Styela clava: one gene and its partners. The protein of the gene in region 3 binds, or shares a complex with, the protein of the main gene of each other region. Links are inferred from orthologs where the notes say so. Each region holds a gene or a part of one and is shown on either strand. Other genes may lie near its edges. The genes, in order: exosome complex component MTR3-like, exosome complex component RRP40-like and exosome complex component RRP43-like.

Region 1 (8,761 bases), on a different chromosome or scaffold from region 3:
CGATGCCAACGCAGTTGAGTCATCAGCCATCACAGTCACACTATCCGCCATCTTCTGTAAAAGGGATAAGTAAACTAGAGGAACAATACTAAACTAAATAGCTCAGGTATCCACTGCCAGCTAGCTTCCCATATCAGTGGCGAAGAATTTTCAAAAACAATAAAATTTCTTCGTATATCCCTTTCATTATTATTCAATATTATCTTTAGTTCACCTGGTTTAAAAGTGGGAGAAGGGCAACTGTAACATTTCCTTGATTTATGCATAACGCACCATCACTTGTATTGGAATCAAACTCTTCTAACGCTGTTGGATCATGAATTAACATATTCTGGAAGACACAAAGATAGGAATAGAGTAGTAGTTTTCAACCTTTTTGTTGGAATGGAACTCCAATGAAACATTCCAGACACAATTCTCCCTAGTTGAACAATATACATCTCCTGGATTCGCAAACTAAAGTCCAAACCAACAGTGACGGGAGTACCGTGTTCCACATAAACATAGATTGGAAGTTGAGACTTAATATTTATCCTATCTTTCATTACATTTCCATGCTTCACCAATGCCATTACCAGACTATGGGAGAGGGCTCCCCTCGGTATCTCACAAGACTATATAAACCAGAGCTCAAAGCTTAAGCCGACCCTCGTGCTTAGCAATGTGAGGGTGTTCCTAAAACTTGCAGGCTGTTTAACAAGGGTAAATGTGCTAAATAGAGGCGTTGGGCACAACATTTCCTAGGCTGTTACTAAGTCAAGCAGCTTAATTAAAGTATTTGTTATCATAACATAAATAGACACTTGTCCAGTAATAAATATAAAATACCTTTCCTGATAGTCGTACATTGTAGGATGTAACCATATCATACATTTCAATAGATGCGTCTGTTAATGCAAGCGATGCCGCCATGATACCAGCAGCTAGAGAACCTCCATCATTTTCTAATACAGTGACATAAACATCAACTTGTGCTTTTGGAAATTTGTGCATCAATACTGCAGGCTCAAGAGCTTGTGCTAAAATCTGAAAAAAGTTCGATGCTATATTTCTAGATTTCTTTCTCTGATAGAGTGAGAAAACGAAACAGATAACAACAAAACCACACTACTGATAATAACCTATTTAGAATTCAAATATGAATGTTTGATTGGTGCAATTGTACACTCACATAAAAACAAATAGTTGAGCCAAGATTCTTATTAAGCCACATATTGTTTTTTCACCAAATTAGAGAATGCTCATCAAAGCAAGTAAATGTAGTTCAAACCAGTAATATAGAATATTACTACATACTTTACAAATATAATTAATTGCAAATTCCATTCAAACTAATTTTTTCAAGATCGCTAGTAAAATAAACTGTGTACAAGTAACACAACATATGCTTTGAAGATCTAGCAACAAAAAACTTATTATACTTGTGAATATTCCATTTCTTGATTGTCACGTATATGACCTCTTCTTTGTTTACATGAAAATGGAGCAAATTTGAATTCACATTTCAACACACCTGTTAGAAGATAAAAAAACTGACGTTCAAATGTATTTACGAAAACCTAATAGAAATTTCCAGTTTTAATGTTTTTTCCAAGAAGTATTTCCAGTCTTTTCTGAATAAGTAGTGATTCATACCTTTTCAAGTTGTACCTTTTTATTTTGTGTGATATAAAATTAAACGCTTTTTCTCGCCACTTCTGTTTCAAAGTTCATCTCATATGTGTCACATTACTATTGTTGCTTGATTGTTAGTTACGAGTTAAAATGTTTTATAATTGGTAAAATATAAAATGTAATCTGTCAACCTTTTTCGTGCCAGGAGAGTTGTTTTGATTTAGTGACCGTATGGTCCTTCCAACCTCCTATCAATTCCGTTGTTAGTCGATTATCCTTCTTTTACTTATTGAATGTTGTTAATATTTGTGTTTTTATTTGATTTGTTGGCTAATACAGTAACTGGATGATGAATAAATTCCTATCTAAATGAGACTAGGGCTGGGCATTTTCGAATACCTGGTGATTTCAGAATCCTATTGAATATTTATTTGGGAATTGAATCTTGAATACCTGGGAGATATATAATTGTATGCACATTTTTATAGTATATTTTTATTGGTCCTGTCAACAAATGAATTATTGAAAACATAGAATACATCATTCACACAAAATAAGAAACACGCTTTATCAATAACCCACTACGAAAAATGGTCATATGTAGGATTTGCGTCGAAAAAATATGGCTTTAATAAAAAAAACTTGCTTGACCATTGGCGGGAAGAAAAAAAAACAAGATGGTGATTTGGAATTTTGCTCTATACTGATTCGAATATTATACTTTTGGAAATGCCCAGTCTAAAAAAGACATTGCCTGACATACTAATAAAGTCATGCTGACTCGTAATCGTCTTGAATATATCACACTCAACAACATTACGATAAGATTTATTCTGGCTACAACTAACTTGTAAACATGAAAAATCAATGCAAAATCAAGTTTACCTTCCATTTGAAAATCATCTCTTCTTCCAATATCTCTAGGTCCATATACAGCACAAATAACTTTGGTATTTTTCATTTCTATATATGATGAACCTCGAGCTTGTGATATGACACCAGTTTTCAAAAATAATGGTCTCACTTCATCTGAACTTCTTCCATCAAAACGACGGCCATTTTCTATGAAAGAAAAGTTGCTTTAATTTTGTATTTGAGGATTCTGTTAACCAACTAACTCATGGACCGATATATTAAAAAGATGGGCAGTAAAAAATACAAAAAAATAGATCATTGGTAAATTTCTCAATAGCTGTGATGAATACATGAGTAAAATTGCGTCCCATAATTTTAAATCATACATGATTACAATTAGCTGAAGAATCAGGAGAAATTTACACCTCATCCAAATTATGAGACAATTAAAGTTAACGTAATTTCTACATTGGCTTTGAAAAGTTTAAGAATATGAATTCGGCAAACACATACCAAATTTCACAGCCCTTGAAACAACAGAAACATGATGAGCAAAAACAACAAGATAAATTCAAAAATCATAATTACCCAATAACTGCGTTGTTTTCTTATTATCAGAAATAAATATATCTGGACTGAAGCTATTTTCCGGAGCAGGTATTCTTCTTGAATCGGTAGGCATAATCGCAAGAAATAACTATAACTTTGCAATGTAACTAGTTGTGAATCTCTGTGATAAATTATACAATATTAAACAGATTTTACCTCAACGATGGAATAACTGTTTATGAACAATTACCAATTACATTATTGAATAGTAATTCAAACAAATTCAAACACCTGAAGCTTTCGATATATTTAAAAAAAAAATATGAATATTTTGCAACAGAATATCACATTAGTTTAGTTGTGAATAGAAAACGAAATTGGGTGCCATTTTGGTATGCGATCTCATAAAGACATGAATTAACCCTCTAAAATCACTAAGATCACACAAATGCAGAGTTCGCATACCAAAGTGGCAACCAAAATTATTGTTGTAAATAACATTTATTTTGACGCTGTTTCAAATCTGTCTGAAACATTTGACCAGTTAATAATATCAAATATAGCTTTAACATAGTCAGGACGAACATTTTTGTATTGAAGATAATAAGCATGTTCCCAGACATCGATTCCGAGAAGTGGTATCAATCCAGTAGTTGCAAGCAATGGATCTTGGTTAGCACAAGTCGTTATTTCTAATCTTCCACACTCTCTATTGTATCCGAGCCAACCCCAGCCAGAACCCTGAACAGCGACAGTAGATGCAGTAAGCTTTTCTTTCATTTTATCAAAGGAGCCAAAATCACGATTAATAGCTTCAGCTAACTCTCCCTGAGGAACTCCGCCACCATCCGGAGATAAATTTGTCCAAAAGATGGAGTGATTGATATGGCCGCCACCATTGAATTTGAGAGCAGGAGCGAGATTGATTATTGCCGTTGCATCGCTCTTTACTTGAGCTTCAGCAAGTTTCTCCTCTGCTGCGTTTAGATTGGTTACATAGGTAGCATGGTGTTTGCAATGATGTAATCGCATTATTTCTTCAGATATTGTCGGTTCCAAAGATTTGTAATCATAAGGCAGATCAGGTAAGGTGTGCTTGCTCCGCACACATGTAATAGAACTTACTAATAATCTTGATTGAAGTCCACCCACAAGCTTCCCTCCAGCATTTCGAAGGCTCATCAGCATATTCATTATAAAGTACTGTGTAATATAATTGCATAAAACCTGAAAGCAGAGTTACCATTTGATTAATATGGACACGATACAATTAATCCAAATTGGGAAAGAATGAAATTTTAAAAATCATTTTATATGAAAAAAAGCTGGCATGAAGTCTCAATCACTAGAACAGCATAAACTCTCATTCAGTTAAGATAAACCCAAGTATTGAATTATTTTTAGATAATGATATTTCTGCCAGACAATCAGAAATAATGGAATAAGCTGCAACTGGCCAGTGATTGCCGAAATCATGTTGAGTATCCTTTATAGGTATTAGCATATCAGGTTACATTGTTGCATATTTTACAAGTTCTATGTTCGTAATAGATAATCCAATATCTTTCCAGTTCTGCTGAAATGCTCTATTTTCATAACCATATATATGTAACTAGAATTCTCAAAAAAAATATTGGATTATAAATTCAGATTTACCAACAAGAACTTAACAATCTAAATATTTGAATTCAATACTAACTAGTAAATTATTTCTTGCCTAAGCAGTCAAGGCCAATTACATTTCGGAAACATCCTAATTGATTCTATTACTGAATCAAATCTTTACAATTTACATCACACAGCATGCTCATTAGCCACTTTTTCTGTCTTCCTGAAATTTAATAAGGGCAGTTCAACCCCAAGCACTGGCTTCTCCAGTGACACTACATGATGAAATGATGGATAGTTGCAAAAGGGTCAAAAAAATTCTGAAACGTTACACCACGTTTTTTGTGTTCGCATCTGTCAAAATCAAATTGACACCATTAAATTTTTTATCCGATACAACTTTTTGCAGTCTTTGAATTTCATAAACCATGTGTTTTTGAGTTCTTTTACTTTGTATTTTCGTTATTCCCTTTTCATTAATTGTCTTAAATCCTTCTAATGGATCTGTGTCTTTCAATTTCTCTTTCAGCCATTTTGGTTTTCGTTTTCTTTTTTTCTTAGTTGAAACAATTTTTGCATCAGTTTGACTATCGTCAACAGAGCTGATAATTTTAGTTATATCACTCAAAGCGAGAGACATTGGCTTCAAGTCACCAACAACAGGAACATCTGATCTTTTCTTTGCTGCTTTTTTGCTTTCTTTTGTGACTCTCGTCACTTCTAATTTTTCCAAAAACTTTTGACGTTTTAATTTTCTTCTTTTTTTCTTATTCAGATGAATGTTAGATGCAGCAGATTTTTCCTGAACATTTACAGAAGCTACATCTGAAGTGAAATCAATTTTCTTTTCCTCATGTTCCTTTTGATCAAAGGAACTAGTTGAAATCTGACCACCACTGAAAGGATTTAGTGACAAAGGAGGAAGCTGGATAGTATCCAAGTCTTTGGGTACTCCGATTTCTTGATTTGTGCTTTCTTCAATTTGTGAATTTTTTGTAGACAAGTGGAATTTCGTTCTATTTCTTCGAATTTTACCCATTTTTAGCACAATAGTTACACAATACTTGTCTCAGCTGTGTATAAAAAAAATATTAAATTTACTTTATAGAATATTCAGGTCTCGAGTAGTTTCGTACCTCAAGTACTTCCAGTGGGCATAGCATAACAATTTTTGCACATGCCAATCCTAACCCCCACCTGACTACGCCATGCAAAAAATTAGGTCACTACGACGTCGCAATCCTGTCATAGAGCTTGCAAAAGTATAGCTATGATCGCCTGAAATGGCATATGCATCAGAGAGCATCATACTAGTCTCAATGATGGTTTAAATCAAGCGTGATATGTCTCCGCCATCAGTCCATCACATGACCAAAATTGCGATTTTTGGCTAAAAACTATCGAAATCTAATTTTTTTAGTAAATCAATATTATGTTCTGATTAAAGAATCCAATGGTGATGTCTTTAGATTGCACTTCCTTCTGGAACAGATATCGACGCCCAGACTGTCTCGTAAAGCAGGGGTGTGCAAACTGCGGCCCGCGGGCCGAATGCGCGGGCCAAAGCCCATACCAGTCATATTAGCAAAACAAGCTAGCAAAATTCTGTTTCAAAATACACGATTTATATTACAAAAACGTGTTTCTCACTGCATTCGTTTGAAGTCGGTGCGACAAAAAATTTAAATAGCAGTTTCTTCAGAAGTTTATGCGTTTTAAATCTACTATTTCTGCAAGAACCCCTAATAATGCCGTAAGATCAATAGCAAATATAGGCAATTTTTGTGCTTGCAACTACCAGAAAGCCTAAATTAAATAAAGGTGCGCCCGCGGCTTCACCCAGTTACTTGTATTTGGCCCGCCAATAAAAAAGGTTGCACACCCCTGTCGTAAAGGATTGGTTCACACCCACTATTATGATTGATGTTTTTCAATGTAGGGCTATTCTTGCAATTGGAAAACTGTGCCGTATTGTGAAACAGTACAGCAGTAATACAGCTAATAATAAAGAACAAAAATAAAGCATAAATACCAGTCAAGAAACAAGTGCCACTACAGTCTGACAGTTGGAAATTCAAGATGCTTCGCTCAGATTAATACAAATAAACTATAAAAAACGCAATATCTGGAAGTCGGAATACAGGAATATAGAATAATCTAGCCTATACATCCTTGCTTAAATACTGAAATACCACTAAACAAAAATGTGATGTGAAACTACAGAACTACCCAAATTTTCATTCTATTTTTAAAATAAAAGTCCTTCATGCTCGTACACAATACTGCAATACCCTAAACGGCATAGGACATACATACAGTACCAGCTTAGTTGAAAATTGAGCAGGTTTAATTTGAATTAAACGTGTGCTTCAAGAATTTTTTTCTTCGACATACAGCATTATAGACTACGATATTTTTTAATTAGGCTACATTAAAATTTCAATTCACATTTTTGTTTAGCGTTATTTGCACAGTTACCGTATGGCTTTACTGTACTAAGCCCTCGACTCACACAATCCCTCACAGTCTCACACAAACACCCATAAAAATCAAAAAAATAAATTGATATTAATTCATACTAAAACAGTAAAATGTGAAAATCACGGCAATCCTGCAATCAGTCGTTCGCAAAAGCGACATTGCCATCAATATACTGATATATTAATGGTATAAACTCTCTGGTAAACTGGTAAACGCTGTTTTGCTCGCTGACGAAGAAAGAACAAGTTTGGCCAAATAATTGCTCAAGTGTAAAGCAAGATAAACCTTTGGCTTCAGTAGTCCATTTTGGAAAATTGACAATTTCAATGGGACTGCTTGTACTGCGAAGGCACGCCGATCACTGCAATTCTAATTGCCACTGTCATATCAGCAAAATCCTTCAGCAAATAATACGCTGTCATAAAAACATATTTCTAAAATTCTAATTAATAGTCACGGAAATGTAGAATTGTAAATTGAACATTATTATGTATCTATCATCTGATAACACACAGCATTTATGATCGAATGAGAGGTTCAACAAAATATATCTATTACAACAAAATAACGTAATATTTACAAAAGAAATTGAAAATTTATTAAATTGACACCAAATTTGATCAAGATCCGACTTTGTTAAATTGACCCAGAATTTGGACAAGATCCGCTTTTGGGGCTCAAAAAATATTTTGTGTATGAATTAATGATACCTTCAACATGTTTTTGAACAAATAAAGAAATAAAACAAAATCAGATCTTGTTTATATTTTGGGTCAATTTCACGATCTTCGGATTTTTAAGAAATTTACGTTATTTCGTTGTATAAAAGTATTTTGTTAGAAAACTGATCGAGTTTTTTTTTCAATTTCTTTGTTTGTTTGAAAACATGTTAAAGATGTCAATCCATATCCCAAATATTTTTCAAGCCTCAAAGGTTGGTCTTGTTCAAATTTTGGGTCAATTTGACGATTTTTCGGATATTTAGGAAATTTATTTTATTGCGTTGTATGAAAAGTATTTTGTTATCATTTGGTATTTACGCATACATGTTTTTGACATGTATACAATATTTTATTGCAATACTTACATGATGTTATCATATCAAAGTATATATTCTTATTTTATACACATGCGACTGGATACGTTACTGTATTTATACACAAAAATGTTAGACGCAATTTGCTAAGTACGATTAAATTCTTTTTTGAGCTTAAATTTTATAATGAAACACGTTTTAAGACTTCTTGTTTTTTAGCAGCACGATTTTGCTAAATAAATAAATAAATATACTCTTGGTCATTATAAACACAGCCCACACGGAAAAACCACAATTATAGAAAAAAAAATGTTTATTCGTTTCAGGGTTCATGAGACGTACCATATCGCGTTCTGGATGCAAGTGGGCGGAAGGCGCCATTGACAAATAAAACGTTAAAAACTTAGAGCCAACCTGTAATAATCAGTCGATTGACTCGATGTATTTTTTTCTCAATTTATTTAAACTTAGTTCGACTTTTTCTTCTGTATAATATAGTGTTAGACTTATTTTATAGGTGCCGCTGCTCGATAACCGGTACTGGTTTCTCGCGTCTCCTCCACCTGAAATATGGCCTATTTATAATTTAATTTATTGCAATTTGTATGTTTGTGCCTG
Region 2 (7,428 bases), on a different chromosome or scaffold from region 3:
TTACTAGTTTTAGCACCATGCTCATCTAATGATCCATAGTAAATCAGAGCAGGAATGTGTAGTTGTTCATATTCTTCTTTCTTGTAATGATTACCATTAATTGGTGCAATCGGTACAATGCCACGTAGTTCTGCTCTATGTTTAAACATGAATGGCAAAGCATATCTGCCACTCATGGAAGGACAAATAATAACAGGCCTGTCTGTTTGAGGTAATGCTTTAATTAACTTTGACAAAAAAGCATCTTCATGATCTATGCGTTTGTCTGCTTTTGTCTTTCCGAAACCAGGAAGATCAACAGCAATAGGAAAGTAACCAGATTTCGCAAGAAACTGTAACGTTCCTAGTGACTTCCATGTGTTTGCTTCATAGGCCGCACCATGTAATAATAACACTGCAAACCTTGGTGGTGGCTGATTCTTTACCGTACTCATTGCATATGAATAAAACACATTGATTCCATCAATTAAAACAAAATCTTCAACATATTCAACGTCAAGTCCTATTTCTGGATCGACTTCGTCCTTTTCATTATCAGCCAACTCAGGTCCTAATTTATCAAGTTTCTGTTTTGCTTTGATCATCGATAGTGCATCCACTTGAACTGAGAAACAATAGAAAAAATAGTTTTGAATTTACACTTATTGTGGTCAAAACGGGGCCAACTAAGTTGGCATTGCAGCTTACACATCTTTGGTTTAAAACCTTTGCCCACATACCTACCGAGCGTGTGATAAGTTAGGTAGGTAATGTTGATCCAGAATGAATTATGTTCTTTCAAAAATGAAGGTTCATACATAACAGGGGCTGATTATAGAGGGCCTTGTTGGAGCAAATAGGCCTGAAATAAGTGTCATACATAATGTTATGTCATTAAAGATAAGAATTCAGTGACAATTTTTGTCAAAGATATAGATCTTTCAGGTTAAATATTTTTACACCTGATTTCTTGCTGTCTGATTCATTCTGGACAAACAACAATACAAATTTTGTATAGGTTACTTATAAATGTATTGTGGATGACCTAAACCAATATATAATAAATCTTACTTGCTGAATCGCTTTGAATTTCATCACTGTTGGAGTATAAAATATAACATATACTTGAGAGGATTAATAAAGTCAATACCACTCCTCGTTTATTTACCTCCGCACTCATGGTTGCGTTGTTTATTTTACAATATGCCAAGCATTTATATTTAAACACCTGAATTACATCTTGAAAGTGAAAAATAAGACAGTTAACCTAGAAATATTGACAGTGTTAAAAAAGGCGCATTTACCTCTTATGGGAGAAAGAATTTTGCATGACCTTAAAGAATATTAAAAGCCAATTATAAGAACATAATCAGCTTTCAAGGTTACAAAGGGTATTTTTTATTCAAAAATCAGCAAAACAGTTACTTAGACTGTTAGGAGTGTTGCAATACGCATGAGTTGTTTGATGTTTTTGTTATTCTATGGATAACCCTGTTGTTCAGATAATATCTGAAAAAATGGAATATTTCAATTATATGACTATGAACTTATAATGGGTACATTCTCACTAACACCTAATTTTAGCTTCTTGATTGAAACTTGAGGGCAGTCAAACCACGACATCAACCTTTTCAAAGAGAATTCGCAAATTGAATATGATTGATTATCTGTTATTTATCCAATCAGGAAGCTAAATATAACACCCTATTCATAAACAACATATCTATCCATGTAAGGTATCTCGAAAAGAATTCTAAAACAGGTTCTGAACATAATTACTGTAGTTTAAGAGACATTGGTATGCCCACACAAATTAGCAATAACAACAAGAATTAATTAAAAAATTCCCGCAGGATGGTAATGTTGTTTAACAACAGGTATACATGTAACATGATACAAAGCATGAAACGATGAAATAAATATTAGCATCACAACAAGCATGTAAAATAGGTGCAACATGCATATGCTATAATACAGAGAATTTAGCTTTTAAAAAAATTCTTTCTCCTTGATTATCGCATTCTCAATTGTATGTTTTTTTTACAGTTCCTGTATGCAAGCATCTCAATGTTCCATTACATGGAGATCGTACATGCAAAATGATTGATTTACCAAGAGGAAGAGCTCTTCGTTGTACCACTCAATGTGACAATGGATATAAACTTGTTGGCAGTTCGTACAACACTTGCATGGAAAAGGGAATTTGGTCGGGCCAGCCTGCTGTTTGCAAAGGTAATTAAACTTACTGAATTTTTTCATGTATGTTTGTCCAAACTAATAAGCTTTTAACTAAAAGTGAAAAAGTATTGACAGAAAATCCATAATGACCACTGATGTTATAAGAGCCCTACATAGGTTTATCCCAGAAACAGAGCATATTTGCATAAATAGAACAAATTTGCCATTATATTAACCACACTGACAATGAAAAGTTGCCGTGACTTTACTCTGCCTTGGCTATGATATGATTATGTAAAGATTGGTTATATAACCAACTCGTATGTAAGATGAATGCTTGAAACTACTTAAATATGACATTGGATATTTGAACACAATGACAATACTCCAGTTCAATCAGCATTATTAATTGTCATTCTTTATTGTCACCAGTTACTTTGTAGAAAAAGGCTCGTTTCTCATTTTGTTAACGAGTATTTAAGCAGTTTGCCAGTTGTCTGCTGTATTTGAACTTAGTGATTCTAGAATTTGTTCATTTGTCATATATTCAGCTGTTGTTATCATATTCATTATAGCAATAATATGTTTATCACTGTGGCTTGTTAGGTGAATTTTACCATTCATTCCTATTAGGGTCTCAAAACCAAAATATTTCCCCATTTCTGGCAACAAAACACAATCAGGGGATAAGATTTTCCTAACTAGATTAAGTGGAACTGTTATCAACAATCCATTAGAAGGTACAGGACCCATTCCATTTGCTTTTCCTGAGCTTTGATCAATGCAACTCAATTCCGGCTCCATGTCTTTGTTTGCAGATATTAGTTTTCCAAATACTATATCTCCATTTACAAGATTCGGTCGATTTCGTTTCGTAGCACCCTCAAAAAATAAATTATTAAGAACGACATAGTCGCTACTTCCAATGTCTACTTTGTAAGCATCACCAATTTTACCAACAATAACCCCCAAAACGTTTTCACCCTTAATTGGAACATAACGTTTCTGATGACTGTCTATCCAAAACATGCTAGGCTGTTTGTGTCGTAGAATCCCAGACTTACAAACGACAATACTGTCATTCCCTTGTCTAAGACCAGGTCCGAGTTTTACTCTTTCATTTTTGCCGATTAAATCCAATACTTGTTCTGTTATGATGTCACCAGGCATGACAACACTTGCATCTAACTCTTTGGCTGGACATTTCATTTTTAACAGTGAACTTAAATTAGGCTAGGTAAGAATAATACTATATGGAAGGAAGAAAATTGGTGTTAATAAAACCAAAGATCAAACGGGTAAGAACAATGTGGTCCGGAATAATCGGTCCGATTTAAAAAAAAAAATGAATCTTTGCTATTTCGACTAGGTGATTATACAATTTTATGAGTGGTCTTCTGGTTTAATAATGCACAAAATTTTGCCTTTTTCATCTAATATTGAAAATGTATATTAATTTCATTGACTCTTGTTCAGAATATATCAAATGGTATATAATACAGTAATATTTCTTTCAAATTTTAATTGAAAAAAATACCTAGTCCAGAAGTTTCCAAACGTTTTGTTTGTGAGACGCCAAATTATCAGGGACAAAACTTACGGCACGCTCTCACGAAAAAAAAATGCTGCCTTTGATAAAACTCAATTTTGTAATAGTTAATGTCTACTTTATGCCTTTAAACTTTGTAAAATGGTAGGCATGAGGAATAAAGGCAAAAAGTCAACTCTTCTTCTTCAGCTCTGCCTGATTTTTTTTTAAAAAAGTTTAAAAATCTCTCATGTTCGCTAAACTCAGTTCAGCAGATCAAAAAAAACTAAAGCTCGTGAAATTGCATGTCTATTGTTATGTAACAATAGAGGCAGACACTACTTAACAGAAAGTAAATAACATAGAAACTTGTAAAATGATTTTATTGATTCAGATACACAGCATTTAAAATAGGAAACAATGGAACATTTATAATAAATTTACTATGTAAAATGGCCGTGGTTCGCCATATGGATAAGCCATCTCATCGCCCTTCCTCTCCCCCGGGATAAATATGTAAATCCTATCCTAAAATATTCAATCATATATTAGTTATGTTTAACACAATTCTGTTAATTTTTAATTATTGTATGACAGTGATGAATATGGGCAATAAGCCACAACAGACTAAAATAGAGCTGGTGTAATATAGAACCATACATTTATACAATCCTATCAGCATATGATAAGAGTACTTACAGACTTAAGAGTACCGGTACAGTTGAGATAATACTGCTTACAACATCTGGTCTGGCGTTATTACTCAACAATTTGATAAAATCCCACAAACTATTATATGCTTAATACTGAACATAATTTTTAATTTCTGAAATACATAAATACACCTTCAGACCTTATAATACAGCAAAATATTACTGACATATCAGTTTGGCATAAAATAGAGACTTTTCATCTCTGCAGAAATACCTTTATGTAAAGCCCCCGCGGCTAAAACTATATTCTGTGTTATTTGATATGTAGCCACGATTTTACCAGTAGATTAACTTCACATATATCTACATACATTACAGCCTGTGTAGCTGATAAAACCGACCGCTTTTCCCAGCGTCTAACAACGTTATACGTTTACTGAACAGCCGAGTATCTTCGATAACTATTGTAAATAATAACGACTCGCTTCGCTTCGACAAACATTAATTGTGCCAATGCGGTGGCGCAGAACAACCACGTGTGTGCGAAGCCACGCCTTTTGATGACTTGCTGGTACTGTTTGCGGTCGATGTTGATCTACCTTACCGCGTATTGCGTGTTTTACCGTATAATGTTTTTGTTGGATTTAATAAAACGCTTTCCTAATTTTCGTTACGAATGAAAATATTTTTTGTCAATTGTTAACCGATGCTGATGTTTATTACGTCAAGACGATCAATTGCTGAATTTTTGTGAGATACACACAATTTAAACTAAAATGAGGATTATTTATTACTTAATTTTTATTCGCTGCTATGTAATAGAACAATAATAGATAAAAATAACAGAAGTTTTGTTCACACCTCAGATTACTCTAATTTGTGTCTCTTTGTAGCAGCAATTCTCATACTCATTGGTGGGGCGATACTCCAATGAAACGTTCCAGAACCCATGTGAAATAGTTTTATTGTCAGGATTGCATTAACTTATATATATATATATATCAGTGGCGGCGCGTCAATAGAGCCAACCGGGGCAATGCCGCAATGCCCCGGTTGTTTTTTCGGTATAATAAAAAATATTCGAAAAATACCTCAATATCGGTTGCACAGACTGTCTACACTAGCCATATTCTCCCGACATGGTTCATTTTTCGCTCGCAAAGCCTTCGCCGAACGTCGACGGGGCGACTCCGATTTTGCCCGGGTTGCTCATTGTATATCGTATTCTCTCTTTTATCTTTCACTCGCCGCGTTTGTCTCGTTTGTTTTCTGTTTCTTTTACTAAATCATCGGGGCTAGCCCCGAAATTATGACGACACAATGCCGACGTTCTTACAACAACGTGTTGACATATTCACGCATTCCTTCTCGTTCGTTGGTTGCTTGAAGAGTTGATAGTTTCCTCGCCTTCGTTTTTGTCGCTTGTTTCGCTATTTGAATCAGTTAGAGACCTTGAGTCCATTTGCTTTCGATTTTCCACATTCCTTTTGAGCTCCTCACTTCTTTCCGGCTTCGCATTTCTTAGCCTTAGACCTCATAATGAAAAAGGTTGATGCACTACTTCGCACTCCGTTTTCGCAGCTGCCGCTGGAACAAAAATTAGAGGTACAACGTCTTGGGCCTTATCAACCAAAAAATTGTTCACTGGAACAATCCCATGACGGAGGAAAGCGTCGGCGTACATTCTGCGCAGAAACTTGGTATAAAAAACACGAATGGTTGTGTTACAGCGAGGACAAAAATGCACTTTTTTGTTTTTATTGCCTACTTTTTGCTACCGCCCGTGACTCACGTTGGTGTAAATTTGGTTTTGGAGATCTTAAACATCTTTCCGAGCGTGCCAGGGATCATCAATCTTCTATGGAGCATCTGGACAATGCAGTAAAATACCGAACATTCGGAAATGTTAATATTGCAGCACAGTTGGATGAAGGACGCGCGGTTTCTATTCGTCGGCACAACCAAAACGTCGAGAAAAACCGCCATGTTCTCGGTCGATTGATAGATGTTTTGAAGTTCATTGGTTGTCACGAGCTGTCCCTCCGTGGGCACGATGATGGGTATTTTTGGATAAAATAAACTATGTTTATATTTATTAATCCCTTGACTTGGACCGGTTTTAAAGACACTTTCTTATCGTTAAAAATTGTCGCTTTTGCCGATTGGTTGTTACCGATGGAATGATTTTTATACTCATAAAATGATAAGAGAACTTACAGCGCTCATCCTGCCCCCGTAGATGGGGGTGACTTGGTCCCGCAGTAGCTTGCCCCGGTTGTCAAAATGACCACGCGCCGCCACTGATATATATATATATATACCGTATATGCAGAAGCAAACCTAATATTGACAAAAATAAAAGATCTATAATGAAAAGTGTAGCAAGTTTGATAAAAGTGGCAAAACTAATAGGCATTTTATTTAATCTGAACGATATATATATATATATACAATGAAAATAGACTCGGAAACTCGCGGAACCCCTGGAATGTACTTTCAAGTCAACCCCAGTTGGAAAGCGCTAGTCTATAGTTTGTTTAATTAGTTTAATTTAGCATTGCATTTGGCATCATCTCGAACAGATTTTTTTTGTAATCTGTGCCACGATGAACATTACTTCAAACTACGAAAGAATTGAATTTTTCACGATCCAATGTCCTATAAACTGCTTTCTATATCACCGCCTCGGTCGAAGAAAATTCTTGTTTACATTTCCTCTTAAAGATGCATACTAGTCTACAATAATCAATCATTATTCTTTGACTCATTACAGCGGCGTCAACTCGCCAGACAAAGAAGATTCGGTTTAAATTCCGGGAACATCAAACACTACCTTGCGGAGAAGTCTACGGCCTCGCATCCTTCCGTAAAAATGGAGTCGTTTATCTAGTTGCTGGCGACAAGGTATGAAGAAACGTCTGAGTAATTCGACCCCCTTATATTACAATCGAGTTGTCATTGACAGCTCAGACTATTGTCAATGTTTTTGAAAGACATTTGTTTATTCCATACATAGCTCGGTCATCAATATACTTATATAGGCTAATCTATAGTCATCTTGACATCCTTAACAAATTTTATTATTGGACA
Region 3 (7,773 bases):
TTACGGAGATAAAAAGAAAGAATTAACAAGCTTCTGGATCCCGCAGCTAACGCCAGCGGCAAGCAAAAGTCGTTTTAAAAAACCAAGTTCGAAGGTGTATTGTCCGATAAATAACACTTCGATCAAAATGAAAGATTTAATACCGGTGAAATTTACACCAATTGCTGATCGGGACACAAAAACTGCGCTAATTAGTAAAAAGGACCGTTGGATGTGTGCAGTCACCCATGACACTTTAGGGAACTCTGTACCGTCGGTTGTTTTGCGTCCGACGGGCGACGTCGTTACTGCAGATTGTGTTGAAAAATTAATTAAACCAAACGAAATGAGACACCCTATAACCAATGAAATTTTAGATGAAAAACGAGATATTATTCCGTTGCAACGTGGCGGGACTGGTTTTTCTCAGACGAACGAATCTCTGGACGTTAAGAAATACAGACCTTCCATGCATGTTTAGTTTGAGTGAAAATTTCTAAAAAAAATCTCTCTTTCTGAAAGCTCCAACGAAAATTTCCTCCATTGAATATTTGGTACTGCCGTAGTGGTGTGTACCAGGTTGGGGTTATCCCACAATTTTTTTCCGATTTTCTTTATTTTAGTTCTGTTATGAGTTCGGAGACTGTCTGTGTCAGCCAAGTAAATATACCACATAGGTTTCAGTTCCTTTACCCAACTTGATGTAAAGTAGCCGAACAAAATTAGTTACCTCCATATTGGTACACACACTTTTGGAGCACCAAATATTCTACCCAGACAGTATAAAATCCCAATCTTAATCACTATTTTTGAAACTTTTTGGCGTTTCCACTTCGACACAAAACACATGTTTTAGTCGAGTATACGTTGGAAATGACTCTAAATATGACATGGACAAACTACGACTGCTGGGTGATTCTGTCTGGCCCACCTGATGCTGCCACAACCAAACTAAAACCAAATTTTGATGTTTTAGCAAAAAAAAAAGCTCAGGATTTGTTGAGATTGTGAGTAAATTTAGTTTGGGCATGAAGCTTATTGTTTTACATGTTTGCTTTTGTGATACTGTAGATATTGTTCATAAAATGTAATTTTTTATGTTTCACTCACATGGCCCGCCAGTCTAGGTGGGCAAGTTTTGGCTTCTGGTCCCCCCTGGGAAGTTTTGGCTACAACTCCCGACTGCAACGAAACCTTTGAATATCCGTTGTGAAGGATTTTTTAGTCGATTTAGTCGATTATTACCATTGTAAGTCTGTATTTTTGACATATGTCGTTACAGCACACTATCCAAATTCCAAGAATTTCCCCCTCATTTGGCTCAATGAAACAAACACTCTATGTGTCTCACCAACGAGGGGCGTCTGGGACCACGTCAGATGCTTCATATCGTGCCATGCTTGTCTCGATAATAATCTAAAATAATCGTGGGCGTCACATGACCAAAATTGCCGTTTTTGCTAAAAACTCTCGAATGCTACGGTCAAATTTTTTTTCCTTCGGTAAATCGGATTATTTTTTTCCAAGGAATTCAATGATGACGTTACTGAAGTGCGCTTTTTTGTAGTATTTTGCGCAACTTCATTATACAGTATTATTACCGATATTGAGGGACAACAATGTCCAGACGTCTCCCAAAGAAGGGGTGTCTGATCATCTGTAAAATGGGTTTCTCAGAAACGAGGCAATGTCACTCGATTTGTATAGTGTGCCGTACTGTATGTGCCATATGACTATGAGAGTTGTGGAAAAATAGTTGCTCTTTTTAAGCCACACCCACTTTTTAGAATTTGTCAGGTCCCCCTCTCAAAAATAACTAACTAACAAGAGGCTACAAATAACAGCTAGTAAGGCGGGAGTATGTTTCATTCAAAAAATACGTGAATGGAACATAAATAATAATATCAATGAAAATTTTTGAAATGTAAATATCCAAAGTAAGACGGACAATATAAAATCTAAGAAATATTTTTACTCTTGTTCTCTCAAAAAATTGTCCATGCTCCCCACAGACTTCTCACATTAGTTCTTTAACTTTATTTTTTATTCTCATTTTCAATATAAAGTCATTATAGTTGTTTGCTATATTATTCTATTCTATCTCTATTAGAGTTGGATCGGTATTTATGCCATAAATGTGGTACTCTCGTTGTGTGTGTACCAGGGTAGGGTCAGGTCATAATTTTATTCAGATTTTTCTTATTTTAGTTCCATTACGAGATCGGGACTGTCTGTGTTAGCCAAGTGAATATATCCCCTGCCTATAGGTTTCAGTCCCTTTACACAACTTGATGTAAAGTATGCGAACAAAATTAGTTACTTCCATATTGATACACACACTTCTGGAGCGCCCTAATTTCAATAAAAATATGACAAACTCTGATGCCACTGCCCTGAGATCATCTGTGAGGTTATATCTATTTAGTCAGTCTATGCATCTGGAGTACTTAACTGGTAAATAAATCATCTCTATGTGTAACCTGAGCTGGTAACAGGACCAACGCCTTGGTCTGCCAATAAGTGAGCTGTCTTATTGCATTCCCCCTCCCTGAGTATAAATATGGAAGCTTCTATCACAGTTTGTGAAGTTGAACTTTTTTTCATTTTCAATATAAAATCATTGTTTTTACACTAGATTATTTATCTAAATATAGGTTTATATTTATTTAAAATGGAAAATCAAACTGCAGTTGTTAAAGCTAATCCAACAAGAAAACGGGTTGGGCCAAAATCTAGAATAACAGCCAATCAAATTCCAGCTGAAATTCTAGAAGACTCCTCATTGGCTGCTGCAATTTCAAATCTTCCTTCAAATTACAATTTTGAAATTCACAAAACAATATGGCGGATCAGGCAGAACGGAGCAAAACGCGTCGCTTTACAATTTCCTGACGGACTTTTGATGTTCGCTTGTACCATTTCTGACATCATAGAGGAATTCACTCAAGCGGAAACTGTCATAATGGGTGACACAACATACGGAGCATGCTGCGTTGATGATTTTTCTGCACGTGCGCTGGAGTGTGACTTCATGGTTCACTATGGCCATAGCTGCCTCATACCTATCAACAATATGCCTGATATCAAAATGTTATATATTTTCGTTGATATTAAGATTGATATTGAACATTTGATGGCGACAGTGAGAGAAAATTTTACACGTGAACAAGCGTTGTATCTAGTCAGCACCGTGCAATTTGTCGCTACTCTACACGCAGTCAAAAACCAATTGATGAAGGATGGTTTTAATGTTAATATACCACAAATCAAACCGTTGACGCCTGGTGAAATTCTTGGTTGTACTTCGCCGAATGTTGGCGATGTGAAATGTGACGCTGTGATTTATCTCGGAGACGGCAGGTTTCATCTCGAATCTATGATGATTTCAAATCCAGAAATTCCGGCTTACAAATATGACCCATATGCAAAGACTTTTACGATCGAAAAGTACGACCATTTAGCTATGCAGAAAGTGCGAAGAAACGCGATCGAGAAAGCACGAAAAGCTGAAACGTGGGGGCTGATTTTAGGTACCTTGGGACGCCAGGGATCTACGACTGTTCTGGACCATTTAGAAGAGCGAATTCTTAACTCTGGACGAAGAGTTGTAAAAATCTTACTTTCAGAAATTTTTCCGTCAAAATTAAAACTATTTCCTGATGTTGGAGCATGGGTTCAAATTGCTTGCCCCCGTTTGTCCATTGATTGGGGCCTTGCCTTTGACACACCCCTCTTGACCCCGTACGAGGCTGCTGTGGCAATCAAAGACATAGAACCGTGGGAGGGGAATTACCCTATGGATTTTTATGCTCGTCAATCTAAAGGACCCTGGACTCCAAATTATCAGCCTCCAAGAGAGGTTAAAAGTAAAGTTGTCAAAGCCACTTGATATAAAGCTAATCTGGCACTAGTTTTTAAACTTTACTGAAATACCCATCGAGTCTTAGGTCATCTGTGTAAAGTAATAAGCTTTTTAACTTTTTATTTTAGGGGGGTGTTTCCAAATCTAAGAGGTGGTAGATATTTAGCTATTAAAATAGCTAAGTGTATTATGTAATTAACTGACCGCCTACACTGGTATATGAGTCACTTTCTGAATATTCAAGTACAATATTCCCATCCAAGTTAGAAACCTAAAGTGAAATATCAGATCTGTGGGAGGTCAGGTTTCAAATTAAGGTTTACTTAGAGGTATTACTAGGGCTGGGCACTTCAAATCGATTCGAATAGTAAATTATTCGAATCGGTTCAAAGCAAAATTTTGAATCGCCGCCATCTTGTTTTTGTTCTTTTCGACCATGGTCAGGTGAATTATCCATTTTTTTTTTATTGAAATCATATTTTTTCAATGCATTGTTGACATATGACTATTTTCTGTAGTGAGGTATTGATAAATAGTGTTTCTCATTGTGTGTGAACGCTTCGCAATCTGTCTGAGTGACGTATTCTATGTTTTCAGTAATTCATTTGTTGACAGGACCAATTACAATAAAAAAAAGTCGCATACAATTACATATCTCCCATTGACCCAAGTATTCGAGATTCGATTAGAAAAAAAGATTCGATTCGATTCTGAAATCATCAGGTATTCGAAATTGCCCAGCCCTAGTTATTACTGCATCAAGTTGGTAAATTTTAATTTTTCAAATATTATTTTGCCATTTTGCTCAATTATTTGTTTTAATTTTGAATAGTTTCTTTGAGCATTTGAGGTCTCACGATACGAACAAGGAAGCCATCTTTAGTGCATTTCCAAATTCAAACTTTTCAAATATGCATTGACTTCTGTGTGTTCTCTCTTGAGCATGACCCAATTCGGAATATCTTTATTACTTCTGAGTGAGTTTGCGATGCTATTAGAAGATTTTTTTTCAAAAATGTAACATTATTTATAATTTAAATGCTACAATTTTTGTGCTTTTTCTCATTTTAGATTTTCTACGTAACTAATTTAACTATGGAAGATATTACAAGTAATTTTGAAGCTTCATTGCCTTTGGAACATTACAAAGAGGTATTGAAAAATGACGTGCGACCGGACGGAAGAGATCTTGGAAAATTTAGAAAAATGACAATTAACGTTGGATCTATTAGTACAGCGGACGGCTCTGCTCTTGTGCAAATGGGAAATACCATGGTCGTTTGTGGGGTCAAAGGTGAACTTACGAAACCCCCTGCTTCGAAACCAGATTGTGGAATTATTGTTCCGAATGTGGACTTATCACCGATGTGTGCGGCTCATTTCAAACCCGGTCCACCGTCCGAACAAGCACAAGTTGCGAGCCAACTTCTTAATGACATCATAAAGACTTGTGATGTCATAAATCTTGATGAATTATGTATTTTTAAAGACAAACTGGTCTGGGTTTTATATTGTGATGTTGTTTGTTTGAGTTACGATGGAAATTTAAATGATGCTTGTATAATGGCTTTAGTGGCCGCTCTCGAGAGCACAACGTTGCCAAAAATAAAATACAATGAAGAAAATGATGTCATAGAGACGCTCGCTGACCCGGAACAGAGGTCAAAGTTGATAGTTCGAAAAAGGCTAGTTTCTTCAACTTTTGTGTTATTCGACTCTACTCATCTAATTGCTGACCCAACTTTGAAGGAAGAGGAAATGACATCGGGAGTAGTTACCATAGTAACGGATGACCAAGGCAAATTGTGTCATCTTCACAGGCCTGGGGGGTTCCCCCTCAGAGACAAACAATTAGAAAAATGTATAAAAGCAGCAACGCGGAACGGTCAAAAGTTGCACTCATTGCTGCAACAATTTCAATAATATTTTTATTCTGATAATAATAAACTAAAGCAAAATTTGCATAAATGAAGGATTTTAGAATAAATATCCTAATTAAAACTGACCAGTAGGTACAAGGTGCTCATATGAATAGGCTGGTAACGTGAATATTCTCTTTCCTGACTTGAACATGAGGTATATGTAAGGAGAGGTGTGGCTTTATATGTCAATATATCTCTGCGTTTGGTAGTAAAGTTTGATTGTGTTAACCGCAAGTTAGCATGTGCGATATAGTTTTCTGTTATCAACTCAAACAAATATTTATTTAACTAATTATCACCAGGTTTGCCCAAAACGAATCAAATAAATATCAAAGTATTTGAATACCTTTTCGTCTGATTTTTGAATAATCCTGAATAATAGCCACTTTTCGCCGTAAGCGTGGTGTTCGTTTTCAAGGGAAATCTTATTTGTTGTATCTATCGTATTGAACCTCAGCACTCTATTGCTTTCTCTCTCCACTGCAAACCAAATTTTCCATAGGGGACTTTAAGCTTCCTCTATGCAAATCCAATCATACGTTCATGCTATGCTTTTTGTGCACTATTTTTACACTCTAAACAAGACTCTGTGTGAGCAAACACCCTCTTTATGCTCTTTCTAATCATTGCCAACTTCCTTTCTTAGCTAACAAACATGTTCAGTTTAAAATCGGAACTGTTTAAAAAACAACAGGAGGTGACTTCAAAGAAATCTGGTCAAATAGTTACATCGGCAATCAGAAAACAACATAAATTGAAAAGTTCTTCAAATGGGGAGGGGAAAGTACCTGAAAATGAGAAGAATCCGGGAGTTGAAGAACGTAACGCAAGAGATATTGCCGAAACATCTGAAGAAATAGATAAAGGGAAAATGGTGAAATCTGTGCTGGAGGTGAAAATGAATTCTTTTGTAATAAAAACTATTATACCTTCTTTTCGGATTTGTTGTTTTTTGCGATTATTGGAGATGAGGTTATAGGTTTTGCATTCCCTGGAAGAAAATTTTTCTATTATGTGCTGATTTCTTTACCTTTGCTCAGAGATGAGTCTCTTTTACTCCAGAGTGACTGTTTGTAACTTTGCTCAGATATGAGTATCCTTTACTTTGAGTGAGTGCATGTGACTTTGCTCAAAGATAGGTTTTATTCACATGCAATGCACTAAGCTTAGGTCACCGTCTTATTACCTATCGATCTTAAGATTGGTAAGTATGTTGATAGGTATCTGTCTGTCTGTTAGATGAACGCGATATCTCACGAAGGCGTAGTTGAATCTAGTCCAAACTTTGCGTGTGCATTCATCATATCTCGGACCAGCAGCCTATTGATTTTGGATGAATTATGTCTCATAATTAGCGAGGTATTAATTAATTAGTTATGGGACACGCGGATTCACTATAGAGTCATGAATCGAAACTGCAGTTTTGATCGATAAGTCTTTGGTCTCCGACTGATATTCTCGTTCATAATTCATTGGCTTTGACTTGTCATTATGATTGAGCGGTCTCATCAGCTTTCTTACACATTGTCATATACGGTAAGTAAAATGTTTTTATTTTATTATTCAAGGCCAAAGCCAAACTCTATGAGAAAATGTCATCAGGAAACCTGTTGCCAGATGAAGAGAGTTCTTCATTATTTCTGGTTGATTTTGAGCAGAAATCCATGGATGCCAGATTACAGAAGACAAATAATGAACTGGATATCAAACCAAAAGTTGGTGTAAATGTGGCAACAGAGTTAGGTGAGCAATTGTAAATCAAGGATTTTGTAGGGAATTGAGAATCTTAGGAGAAGTAAGCTGGTACGATCAGTAATCAGTAGTTTATTTGTCACCATACTTTTTACCAAGACATACAAATTTCAATAAATAACAAGAGATCGATGCTCAAATATATGGACACGGTGTAGTATCGTATACAGTCTACTCCGAAAATTTCAAAGCATTTGGTCCAGTACTCAGAAAGAAAATTGATTTTTTTCTGTGACAACGAACAACAACAACATAATA

Evidence for each region.
Region 1: exosome complex component RRP43-like (region 3) and exosome complex component MTR3-like share a complex: the UniProt entries of both Homo sapiens proteins name them as parts of the RNA exosome core complex. The link is inferred for Styela clava from reciprocal best matches to the Homo sapiens genes EXOSC8 and EXOSC6.
Region 2: exosome complex component RRP43-like (region 3) and exosome complex component RRP40-like share a complex: the UniProt entries of both Homo sapiens proteins name them as parts of the RNA exosome core complex. The link is inferred for Styela clava from reciprocal best matches to the Homo sapiens genes EXOSC8 and EXOSC3.

What each region holds. Positions count from the first base shown.
Region 1 is NC_135259.1:16,252,091-16,260,851, reverse strand, and holds the start of exosome complex component MTR3-like, read right to left. Parts: upstream 3,195-8,761; 5' UTR 3,152-3,194; coding exon 3,058-3,151; intron 2,677-3,057; coding exon 2,500-2,676; intron 1,514-2,499; coding exon 1,422-1,513; intron 1,027-1,421; coding exon 829-1,026; intron 332-828; coding exon 215-331; intron 1-214. Other genes in the region: superoxide dismutase [Mn], mitochondrial-like, read right to left, coding at 3,520-4,212; uncharacterized protein LOC120338528, read right to left, coding at 4,955-5,665. UniProt on the Homo sapiens protein: Non-catalytic component of the RNA exosome complex which has 3'->5' exoribonuclease activity and participates in a multitude of cellular RNA processing and degradation events.
Region 2 is NC_135256.1:11,222,332-11,229,759, reverse strand, and holds exosome complex component RRP40-like, read right to left. Parts: upstream 3,403-7,428; 5' UTR 3,367-3,402; coding exon 2,635-3,366; 3' UTR 2,212-2,634; coding exon of another isoform or gene 2,026-2,211; 3' UTR 1,218-2,025; downstream 1-1,217. Other genes in the region: putative protein-lysine deacylase ABHD14B, read right to left, coding at 1-604, 1,051-1,159; uncharacterized protein LOC120328953, read left to right, coding at 2,026-2,211, 7,112-7,242. UniProt on the Homo sapiens protein: Non-catalytic component of the RNA exosome complex which has 3'->5' exoribonuclease activity and participates in a multitude of cellular RNA processing and degradation events.
Region 3 is NC_135250.1:31,192,343-31,200,115, reverse strand, and holds exosome complex component RRP43-like, read left to right. Parts: upstream 1-4,912; 5' UTR 4,913-4,936; coding exon 4,937-5,764; 3' UTR 5,765-6,409; downstream 6,410-7,773. Other genes in the region: nitric oxide synthase-interacting protein-like, read left to right, coding at 1-460; 2-(3-amino-3-carboxypropyl)histidine synthase subunit 1-like, read left to right, coding at 2,651-3,868; coiled-coil domain-containing protein 174-like, read left to right, coding at 6,419-6,655, 7,332-7,506. UniProt on the Homo sapiens protein: Non-catalytic component of the RNA exosome complex which has 3'->5' exoribonuclease activity and participates in a multitude of cellular RNA processing and degradation events.